2 linked regions of the Caenorhabditis elegans genome follow. The protein of the gene in region 1 interacts with the protein of each later gene in a pairwise test. Each region holds a gene or a part of one and is shown in the gene's direction. Other genes may lie near its edges. The genes, in order: F13D12.3 and wee-1.3.

Region 1 (4,493 bases):
TTACTAAGAACTTTAAAACAAATTTATTTAAAATAAATTCAGTTAATGACTTACAGTACAATTGGATGCATCATTCGTAGCACATTTCTTACAACATTTGGAGGAAGACGAAGAATGGGAAAAGTCGGAGGAGGGGAAGAAAACCAATTTCCCATTATTTCCAGAATTTGAATACATATACGAAAAAACAGAATAAAGAACAAATGCAAGACCAACTGACGTATCGATCCAATACCACAGTAATGGCTGCACGTCTTCTACCGTGAGCAGATGGGAAGATTGCAATGTGCTCATTGAGGTTGTGTCTTAAATACAGGAAGGTCAGATTTAGACTAAATTGGTTTACAACTGGGATACACGCTAGCAAAGTTATGTAGGCAGGTACGTAGGTAGGCAGGTGTTTTTTTTCAAAAACCTACGTATTTTAAATTTATAAGAACTTTTGAATTTGCAATTTCCGTTCTTGAAGTCCAAGAACCACCGGATGTTTCAAATTGTCAAAAGACGAACAAGTTATGAAATTGTGATATTTCGAAAAAAAAAGAGGAACAAGAAAACATGACAGATGATGATAATGGGTGGTAATTTGAGATGGGGAAACAGGTCGGTTGAACAAAAAAGTATAAACAAGTTTGGTGGTTACCTTCTATCTATTGGCTGAAATATCGATGACTCGGGGAAGAATTCGAATTTTCGATTAATTGAAAATCTCTAAAACCTTGCCAAAAGTTACAGTAGCGTATTTTGAAAGGTCAAAATGAATTCGAAAATAACAGGTTCTAATCAAATTTTGAAAAGGTTATTGGGTTTTTGAATTGCCTTTTTGTGAGAAGACAGAAATGTTTTATTCCAGGTTTCATAAGGAATTTTCAGCGTGGCTAAATTGTTTCAATAACCGAAGTTATTATTTTTGCACAATGAACACTAGAGCTGAATTTTGGTTGTAAAAAAAAACCAAAATGATTTTTTCAAGAAAATAGAACAACTCTGTTCATTTGAGGATCTCGTAGCAAAAATTGCGAATTTTTTCAGATAAATTTCTTTATTTATTTATAAAAACCTTTATATTAAAGTCAAAAACCTCGAAAACTTCATTTAAAACTTAATTCAAAGCAAACTGTGCTGCGGAATTCGGAGTCTCGTTTGGCCACGCCACTTTGTTCTTTGAACTTGAATTTAGAAATTAATGCTTTGGAGTCCGTTTTTCAAAATATTGGCAATGTTATGGTTGTGCAAAACTGTAAAATGGCACAATTATAAACATTGCTCCTTGGCGGAATATGGAGTCTCGTTTGGCCACGCCCCCTTTTTTGTTGTGACAGCGTAGGCGCTTCACTTTGATAGATTATCTCTCGATCAACTTTTATGTTATGGAAAAAGTGTAAAAAGCAAAAGTATCGAAAATCACATGATAAATATTTTGTCAGTTGACAATTTTTATAAAATATAAGAAAATTGAGATATGACCTTCCAAAGTTGAGCGTTAAGGCATGGTACTTTAAAGAAATATGCGGTTGTTTTATGCAATTTTGTACCTTTAGATGTCATTTTTGAAATTTGAGTTCTTTGGAAAAGCTGGAATTATTCATGCTTAAAAATTACTTCAACGTGGCTTGAAAAAACAACAACTCGGTCACCCATAAGTTCGGAGCATTTTCCCGATAATCGGAACTAAAGAACCCCCTCTTAAGACGTGAGAAATCAAAAATAAATTGCTGGCTGAGTTTTCGCATTTTCTAGGCCAACCACTATGTGATTGGAAAAACTGTTCCCTTGCGAAGTATGACGCATTGCTTGTCCAGGGTCAACCAGTTACAGGCCATCTTCATGCTTTTGTCTCTTTTTTATTATTATTTTCCAATTCTCCAAAAACCTTTTTTCTCGCCAAAAAGTTCGTCAAATTTTGACTCATTTTCCCGATGCCCGCCCCCGTCAGCCGAATGATTATAAGGAGGGCATTAAGAAAGAGACAGGTGACCAAAGTCTTCGTATCATTTTGTGTTTTTCTTCGTTACTTTCTTTCCCCGACGGTATTGATCCATAAAGATTGCGTTCAACATGTTCTCACTCCCTATTTTCGTTCTTATTGCGTCATTTTCAATTGCACACGGATTTGTCGTAAGGTGGGTTTGAAAGCTTGTATCTCTCTTGTGATAGATTGTGGCTAAAAATTGTCAACAGAGAAAATAATTTGCATAAATTTTTCTATGATTTGTTAGTTGACAACTTTTTGCTAGGAGTTGTGGTTATTAAGATATAGGACAAGAAAAATTTCAAAAATTTTTTTTGGAAACATTTTTTAAAAAAATCTCTAGTTCTAACTTCAAATAGCATAAATTTTTAAGGCAACGTTTCGGAGCATAAATATTAATAATGAAAATCCTATAATTTGCGAATTTTTTCTCTAGAAAGTTTAATTAAATTGAAAGTTCAAAGAACCAAGTGGGCGGGGCCAAACGAGACTCCGAATTCCGCGGCGCAAATTGCGTAGGGAATTCAGTTTTGAATGAAGTTTTCGAGCTTTTTATTTTGAAAATTGATTTTTTTTGTAAATTTCAAATTTTATAGAATGATAAATACAAATTATCCGGAAATATTTAAAAAAAACCGAAAAAATTGGGATTTTCGCAGCGCTGCGAGACAAAAAAAGATTTGACCATTTTACGGAAATGGCTTTCCTTTTTGTTTTGGGTCTTACAGCGAAAAGTTTTAATGTTCATTTCGTACACATTTAAGTGCGACTAAGTAGGCGTGGCCAAACGAGATTCCACATTCCGCACAGTAAAAATTAAAAAAAAATCGGTTACCATAAAATTATTTAATGTAAATATTCATCTCAAATCCCAAAAAAAAATCCGCTTTTTTTTCAGAACTCGCCGAGGAGCCTACATGTCCAGCAGTTCATATTCTAGGCCAAGTTACGGAGGAGACCAATGGGGTCAGAATAATAATTATAATCCATATCAAAACAATTGGAATCAACAAAACCAGAATTGGGATCAATATGGAAACAGAGGTAGTCAATATGGATCCTCATACGGGCGGCCTTCAAGTTATGGGCCACCACAGCCAAGCTACTCCCCACCAAAATCCTCATATGGACGCCCAGAACCCACCTACTCCCCATATTCGCGGCCTAGCTCTTCATATGGAAGACCACCTCAGTTCTATCCAGCTCAGCCAGGTCCAGCGGTGCCAGCTGTGATACCTCCAGTTGTCACTCAGCCAATTGTGCCGCCTCCAGTTCCAGAAGTTTCTGAGCCAGTTCCAGAGCCACCAATCCCAGCTCCAGGCCCTGTTGCTCCACCAACACCATCTGGTCCACTATTCGGAGGAGTTGAGCCAGGAGCCGGAGCTCTTACCCCAGGAGTTGCTCCACCACCAACTGATGAGGAGATGACAAGGGTGGACGCAGCGGAAAAGGAGAATGAGGTAGGCTTACTGTAGTTACAAGTTTACTGTAGGCTTAGAAGTCCGCAAAAAAAAAAAACACTAAAATTCAAATAAATTTTCAGGTCCGAAAAGCTCGTGGTGGACCTCCAGGCATCAATGTGGCAGCGATTGCTGAAACTGGAACTCTCCCACCTCAAGCTTCAATTCCAGATATTCCAATGCCGCCTGTTTAAATTTTTTCCAAATTTGTGTATTCCCTTCCAAAACCCGACTCAAGTACTTTCATACGGTTATTTTTTCAGTTTTCTGCACTTTTTCTGTTCCAAACAACCACGACTTTGACCTTTTTCGAATAAAATTCATGCTTCAAAAAACAAATGAAATTGGTTTCTATGGAAACGACAAGATATTTCGGTTGAAACGTGCAAAAGTGAAAAAAAAAACAGAAGCCATTTTGGATTAGTGGAATCCATTTTTGAAGTCTGCAGATTACTTTCTGTTTCAGCTGGCTCTTGGAGAACAAAAAGAGTATAAAAATGAGCATTTGGATTGAATTTCTCAGTTTTGAACTTATTTTGAGCCACAAATACGGTACCAGGTCTCGCCACGACAATTTTCAAATGCGAAAAGATGTGTGCACCTTTAAAAACAATTAAATTGTTTTTAATGAATAATTTTTTTAATCGAAAATATATGAAAAATCGGTAAAAAAATTTCTGCAGTAACGAAAGTTTGAAATGACAGTGCTATTTAATGGCGCACACCTTTTTTGCAATCACCAATTTTTTTTGTCGTGTCGAGACCTATATTTTTGATTTGCGTGACCTTGAAATTTATGCACAAGAATTCTAGGCCATCTCCACGTAGAATGTGGCCTAGAATGTGGTCAATTCACATTCTTTCATAAGTTGACATTGCGAACAAATATCGAAACTTTCGGGAAAAGCTGCTTAAGACATTAAGTTAAATTAGCTTGCAAAAACATTTTTCTCTTCAAAAAATCATTTCCTTCCTTCTTCCTCTCAATAAAAATATGTTTTTTCCCATCTATTTTTTTCAGATTTCTCAATCTTTTTCAATTAAGCGTTGCTCTCTGCGCG
Region 2 (5,267 bases), 2.0 Mb from region 1:
TGCAATCAGCGCAAACTTTCCCAGCTGTGAATCGAGGAAGGAAACGCCAAATCACTCACGAAAATGCCGATAATGCGAATCCGGCAAAGCGGCCAGACTTGGCAATTCTTTAAGTGTCCAAATTGGAATTACAAACTTAAATTTCAGATGGCGAGTCACTTCATGATGCTGAACATCAGGGACAAACATGTGGTGCAGCGAGCGACGAGAATTCTTCGTTTCTTGGGGTGAATATTTGGTTTAAAAATGAAATAATTACAACATTTATTTTAGGATAAAAGAGTTTATCTTCTCGGATCCAATCGCTCAAAGCGTCGCAAATGAAAGTCGATCGGCCGTCGCGTTCACCGTTTCCCCAAAGGATTCCGCAAAAATTTTGGAAAAAAATCAACGACGAGAACTGGATTGATGTTTTCGATTGCAAGAAAATAAAGGAGCGCAAACAAGAGTTCTTCTGGTACAAGCTGGATCCTCTTGATTTGGCCAAAGCAGTGGCAATGGCTTCACAGTAATTGATTTTTCTCATCTAAATTATAAAATCATTGCTATTTTTCAGAATGAACGACAGAGGAGTCATCCCGTATCCAACACCAACGCTCAATGATGCCCTCAATGACCATGCTGCTTTGATCCGCGCACTGAACGATTCATCGATCAAAAAGTTGTTCAAAGAGGTCAGATTTTTTTGTACCATGAGAAAACGATTCAGCACAATCCGCAATAATCCAATTTCAGTCAAGCGAGAGCCCACCAATTTCTAGTTCAACATCAGAAATTCAAGAAAATAATTTTTAAATTCATTTGTCAAATATCCCATTTTAATTTAAAACCATGTATTATAATATTTCTTTAAACCCCAACCATTGCAAATATGTGTAATTTTTAAAATCTATTCGCTGGTTTGATTGCTTATTGCACCCACTTTTTTATTAAATATGAAAATTCTATTGGTAAAATAAATTTTAACTCTTAAATTTTCCTGTTTTATAAAATTTTCCTGTTTTATTTCCCTTTGTTCTACTTTCAATGCTGTATATCTGACTTTCTGCGGTGTTTAGGTAGATGATTGCTCTTGAATTGACAGGCCGTATCGGAGAGTCTTAAAAGTTTTCATCTGCTAAACCGGTTTGTAGTATGTAAATAGTCCGACAGATCCAAGCTACTGAAATTTTGTTTAACGTGATGTAATTCACATTATTATTATTGAAATTTTAAAAAAACACTATTTTTCTTTGGGTCTGCTAGACTACAAACTACAAAACATATCTAGCAGATAAATTGTCTCATATCGCTCATAGAAGACCCACTACAGTTTAATATTGAACCCTTTCTTCGGCAAAATTGGTCATTCCGGTTGAACACCATATTTAAAATTATTTTTTGAATATCCCGCTGTTTTCCCCTGTCTAGTCTGCATTTGAGCGCCACGGTGTTTGCACAATGTGTCTTCTCCTCTTTCGCGCGCTTGTTTTGAATTGCAATCGCCGTTGGCAGAATTGTTTGTTTTCTCGCTGTTTTGTCGCCTCCGCCTAATTGATTATTCATTCCTTCATACTAATATTATCTTATTATAGTAATTTCAATGTTAATTCCAATATACTCTCAGAAATCAAAAGGTTTTTTAGTTGAAAACGTTCCAAACACGTTATTATCGATTTCTCTCTATTTAGCATCTTCTCTGCACCGCAAAAATCTATTTTAAAAAATTTCTGTCGATATTAATTTTGATAAAACATGTTATTTATTTTCTTTGACCTTCCTTCCTTCTTTTTTCCGCTGCGTATGATTAATTTATTCATTTTCAGTGAAAATGGACGACACAGAGGGTAACTCCTCGATGGATTCCATTCGAAATGGTCAATCAAGTCCACTTCCACAGGTCACTCCACGCTTACCACAAATCCCGATGATGATGCGTGAGACACCACTTTCCACAAAACGTGAGCGCCAAGCAATTACTCCACGTTTCCGTCGTCCAGCTCCGAAAATGATAAAAACTATGCCACCAACAAGAAGCATTTGGTCTGTTCGGAAGGAGTCGGTCCCACTTTTGGTCACTCCGCAGGGTATGTCGAGTTGATTATTTTAAACATTAATTATTTTTGATAAACCCAACACATCTCAAGCATTTTTTCAGGACCAAAACCACTGGAATCGCCAAAGTACGATCATACAAATGCTCAATCATTCTTTGAACAAGTATTTCAAATCGATGAAATCATTGGAAGAGGCTCGTTCGGAGAAGTATTCGCAGCCAGATGCCGTGAGGATTCCCAATTGTATGCTGTCAAAGTATCGTTAGCTCCGATCCGGCAACATTCAATTTCCAAGTACCGAGAAGCTGAGAGCCATATGATCATTCCACCGCATAAGAATCTTGTCAAGTTCTACAGAGCCTGGGAGGAAACTGGTCGATTGTATATTCAAACAGAACTTTGCGATCAAAGTCTTTTGAAATATTGTACAGAGAAACATGCACTACCGGAGGACGAAATTTGGAATATTTTCGTAGATTTGCTCCAAGCTGTTCATCATTTGCACTCGAACGACATGATTCATGATGATATTAAACCGGAAAACATTTTTCTTACAAAGGACATGATATGCAAACTCGGAGATTTTGGTTTGGTTATTAACCTTAAAAATGTAAGTTCATACTTTTTAATATTCTGATTTTATTCAATCGATTTTCAGCCAAATGATGTGAAATCAGCGGAAGAAGGTGACTCGAAATATCTTGCTCCAGAAGTTTTGAACGGCCGTCCCACGAAATCATCAGACATTTTCAGTCTAGGAATGACAATTCTTGAGGCTACTACTGATCTTGACGTTCCATCAAATGGAGATTCGTGGCATCAAATCAGAAATGGACAGATTCCTGATAGATTCTTCGCTGGAATTTCTACAGATCTTCGCAGTTTAATTGCCTTGATGCTTGACTCTGATCCGAGGATTCGTCCAACAAGTCGAGATTTGCTTGATCATCCGGTAATCAAGAAGAAGCTCATGAAGCGTGGAACCTATGTAAAATGCATTTCAATTGTAAGTTATAGTTTTGTGAATGAGGGATTTTGACAATCACTGGTTTCAGCTTAACGGCTTTTTCTACGCCTTCAGTGCTGTTCTTGTCTGGGTAATGGCTTTCTTCTCGGTGCTCTTTCATCCTATTGTTCGCTTCCATGCTGCAATTAAAGACCGGCAATCGGAAATTTGTGCGCAATTTGTCAATGTAATAAGTTTTTTTACCCAAAATTTTATCAACTCGAATTTTTCAGAATCAGCAGCACACTCCCATCCAAACTCCAGAGACTTCTAAAGTTTATTTGGAATCTCTTACTGGAGTGGCTGTTCGCCAAGCATCTCAAATTGTGTCTCCTTTCGATTTTTCCGATGATGAGAATCCACCAAACGCGCAACGCCGTTTGTTCACTGGTGCAGTGCCGTGTCGCTTGAACTTTGATAACGATCAAGATGACGATGAGGAACAGGCGACTTGCTCATCATCAAACTCTTCAGCTATTGAGCCCCAATTGGATGAACCGGAGAGTCCGCCGAGAATGAACGATGTTATTGATAAACTTGGAAAACGGTTGGTTTTGTTGTTAAATATTCAAAAAGTTTCTGGATTCTCTATTACCAACTGCTATTTTTCAGAGGAACTCCAAGATCAGCTCGTCGTAATCTCACTTTCAACCGTCATCGTCAAGTAGCCGCGTCAGTTGCACCGAAATCGTCGCTAAATCATTATAATCATCACACTGGATCTGGAGATGGATTTAGTAATAACTCTCTAATTCCAATTAGTGATCAAGAACGAACGGAAAAATATCTCCGAATGCGACTCACCGAGCAACAGTTAGATTGGGCAGATCAGAATAATGTGATCGACGAGGCTCCACCACCAATGTCTTGTCCGCCAAGAATCCGAAGAAGCATTCGTGATCTACCGAGAATGCCTGTTCTCAACTTTAACGTTCTCGACGAGCCATCGAATAAACCGACTGTTGATCATCATACGATTTTGGAGCAATCGGAATCGCCACGTAGAAGATTAAATAGAGGGGCTAAGCCTGTGCCTCGTAATAGAATGGTTAGTAGTTTTACGCTAAATGATTTTTATTAAATGTTTTTTTTCCAGATGTCATTTGGATCATCAGGCGACGAGGTTTAATAATGCACAAAAATCAGAAAAATTGTTGAATATTTATTTTTTGCATTTATTAGCATCTCGTACTTTTCTTACTTTTTCTCATCCCATCATCACTTCCCCTAGGTTTTATGCCTGTTTACAGTAGTCCTTCTCACTAGTTATTGATTGATTTCTTTTCCCCCTTGACGACCATCTCTTCACAAATGTGTCATTACTCGAATTTTATTTACTATTTCTTCTGGGTGCTTATTTTCTGGTATTTTTGTACGTCTTTTTGTAAAATCTTTCCCCCTCTCGACCATATCGCACTACCATTATCACACAGACACACAACTTGTCATTATGTCCTTCTTTTCTGAAATTGAAGATAAAACGTATTTTATCTGAACTACGTATATTTTTTTAATTTCTCCATTTCATACAGAATCCAAATTTATTCGAATTGAATAAAGTAGGTACCAACCGATTACACATATGTCTGGTGTAATATAAACTCGAGAGGGTCTTGAGAGAAAACCTGTTCTTGTAGTACTGGAGGTAGGACAGTACAAAAAAATTTCCCACAGCTTTTGATAGCCATTTTGATTTATTTCGATAGGAATATTAATTACTTCTTAAACTACACAAAAAAACAAAAAAAAAAACTATAGAAAACATCGTAAAACCTACTTCCTTTATCAAAAGTTTATATATTGTTTTAACTTTTACTTACAACAGAACAGCAATAATTTGACTATAAAAACCGTCATTAAAAAATCTCGTACCCTCAGAATTTAAAAAGAAATTACAAGTGCTTCTATATGCATTTTGAAAAAAAGACACCACCGCCTCGATAGCTCAGTTGGGAGAGCGCACGACTGAAGATCGTGAGGTCACCAGTTCGATCCTGGTTCGGGGCAACGTTTTTTGTGCATTTGTTTAATTTTTTTTTTGCAATTTGTTTCAAGTTCAAAATCTCACAGTTTGGCCTTCTGGGCGTCTGATCTGTCTTGATATGAATATGCAAATTGATGCATAGTCGTCCACCTTGATTCCTGTTCTCGAACTGTGACGCGCTTCATTTTTGACCTTTCTCATTATATTTTTGATATAAAGAACATCAATTTTGATATTTCCC

Evidence for each region.
Region 2: the proteins of F13D12.3 (region 1) and wee-1.3 interact in a two-hybrid assay, tested with the Caenorhabditis elegans proteins (one large-scale study listed by BioGRID).

Annotation. Positions count from the first base shown.
Region 1 is NC_003280.10:11,718,534-11,723,026, forward strand, and holds F13D12.3 (Prion-like-(Q/N-rich)-domain-bearing protein), read left to right. Parts: upstream 1-1,868; 5' UTR 1,869-2,058; coding exon 2,059-2,123; intron 2,124-2,870; coding exon 2,871-3,432; intron 3,433-3,515; coding exon 3,516-3,626; 3' UTR 3,627-3,802; downstream 3,803-4,493.
Region 2 is NC_003280.10:9,713,006-9,718,272, reverse strand, and holds wee-1.3 (Membrane-associated tyrosine- and threonine-specific cdc2-inhibitory kinase wee-1.3), read left to right. Parts: upstream 1-1,805; 5' UTR 1,806-1,810; coding exon 1,811-2,066; intron 2,067-2,137; coding exon 2,138-2,646; intron 2,647-2,694; coding exon 2,695-3,042; intron 3,043-3,091; coding exon 3,092-3,229; intron 3,230-3,275; coding exon 3,276-3,589; intron 3,590-3,654; coding exon 3,655-4,090; intron 4,091-4,138; coding exon 4,139-4,171; 3' UTR 4,172-4,536; downstream 4,537-5,267. Other genes in the region: Y53C12A.11 (PRE_C2HC domain-containing protein), read left to right, coding at 1-101, 148-227, 274-409; Y53C12A.6 (uncharacterized protein), read left to right, coding at 498-508, 557-674, 736-795. UniProt on the Caenorhabditis elegans protein: Acts as a negative regulator of entry into mitosis (G2 to M transition) by phosphorylation of the CDK1 kinase during oocyte maturation.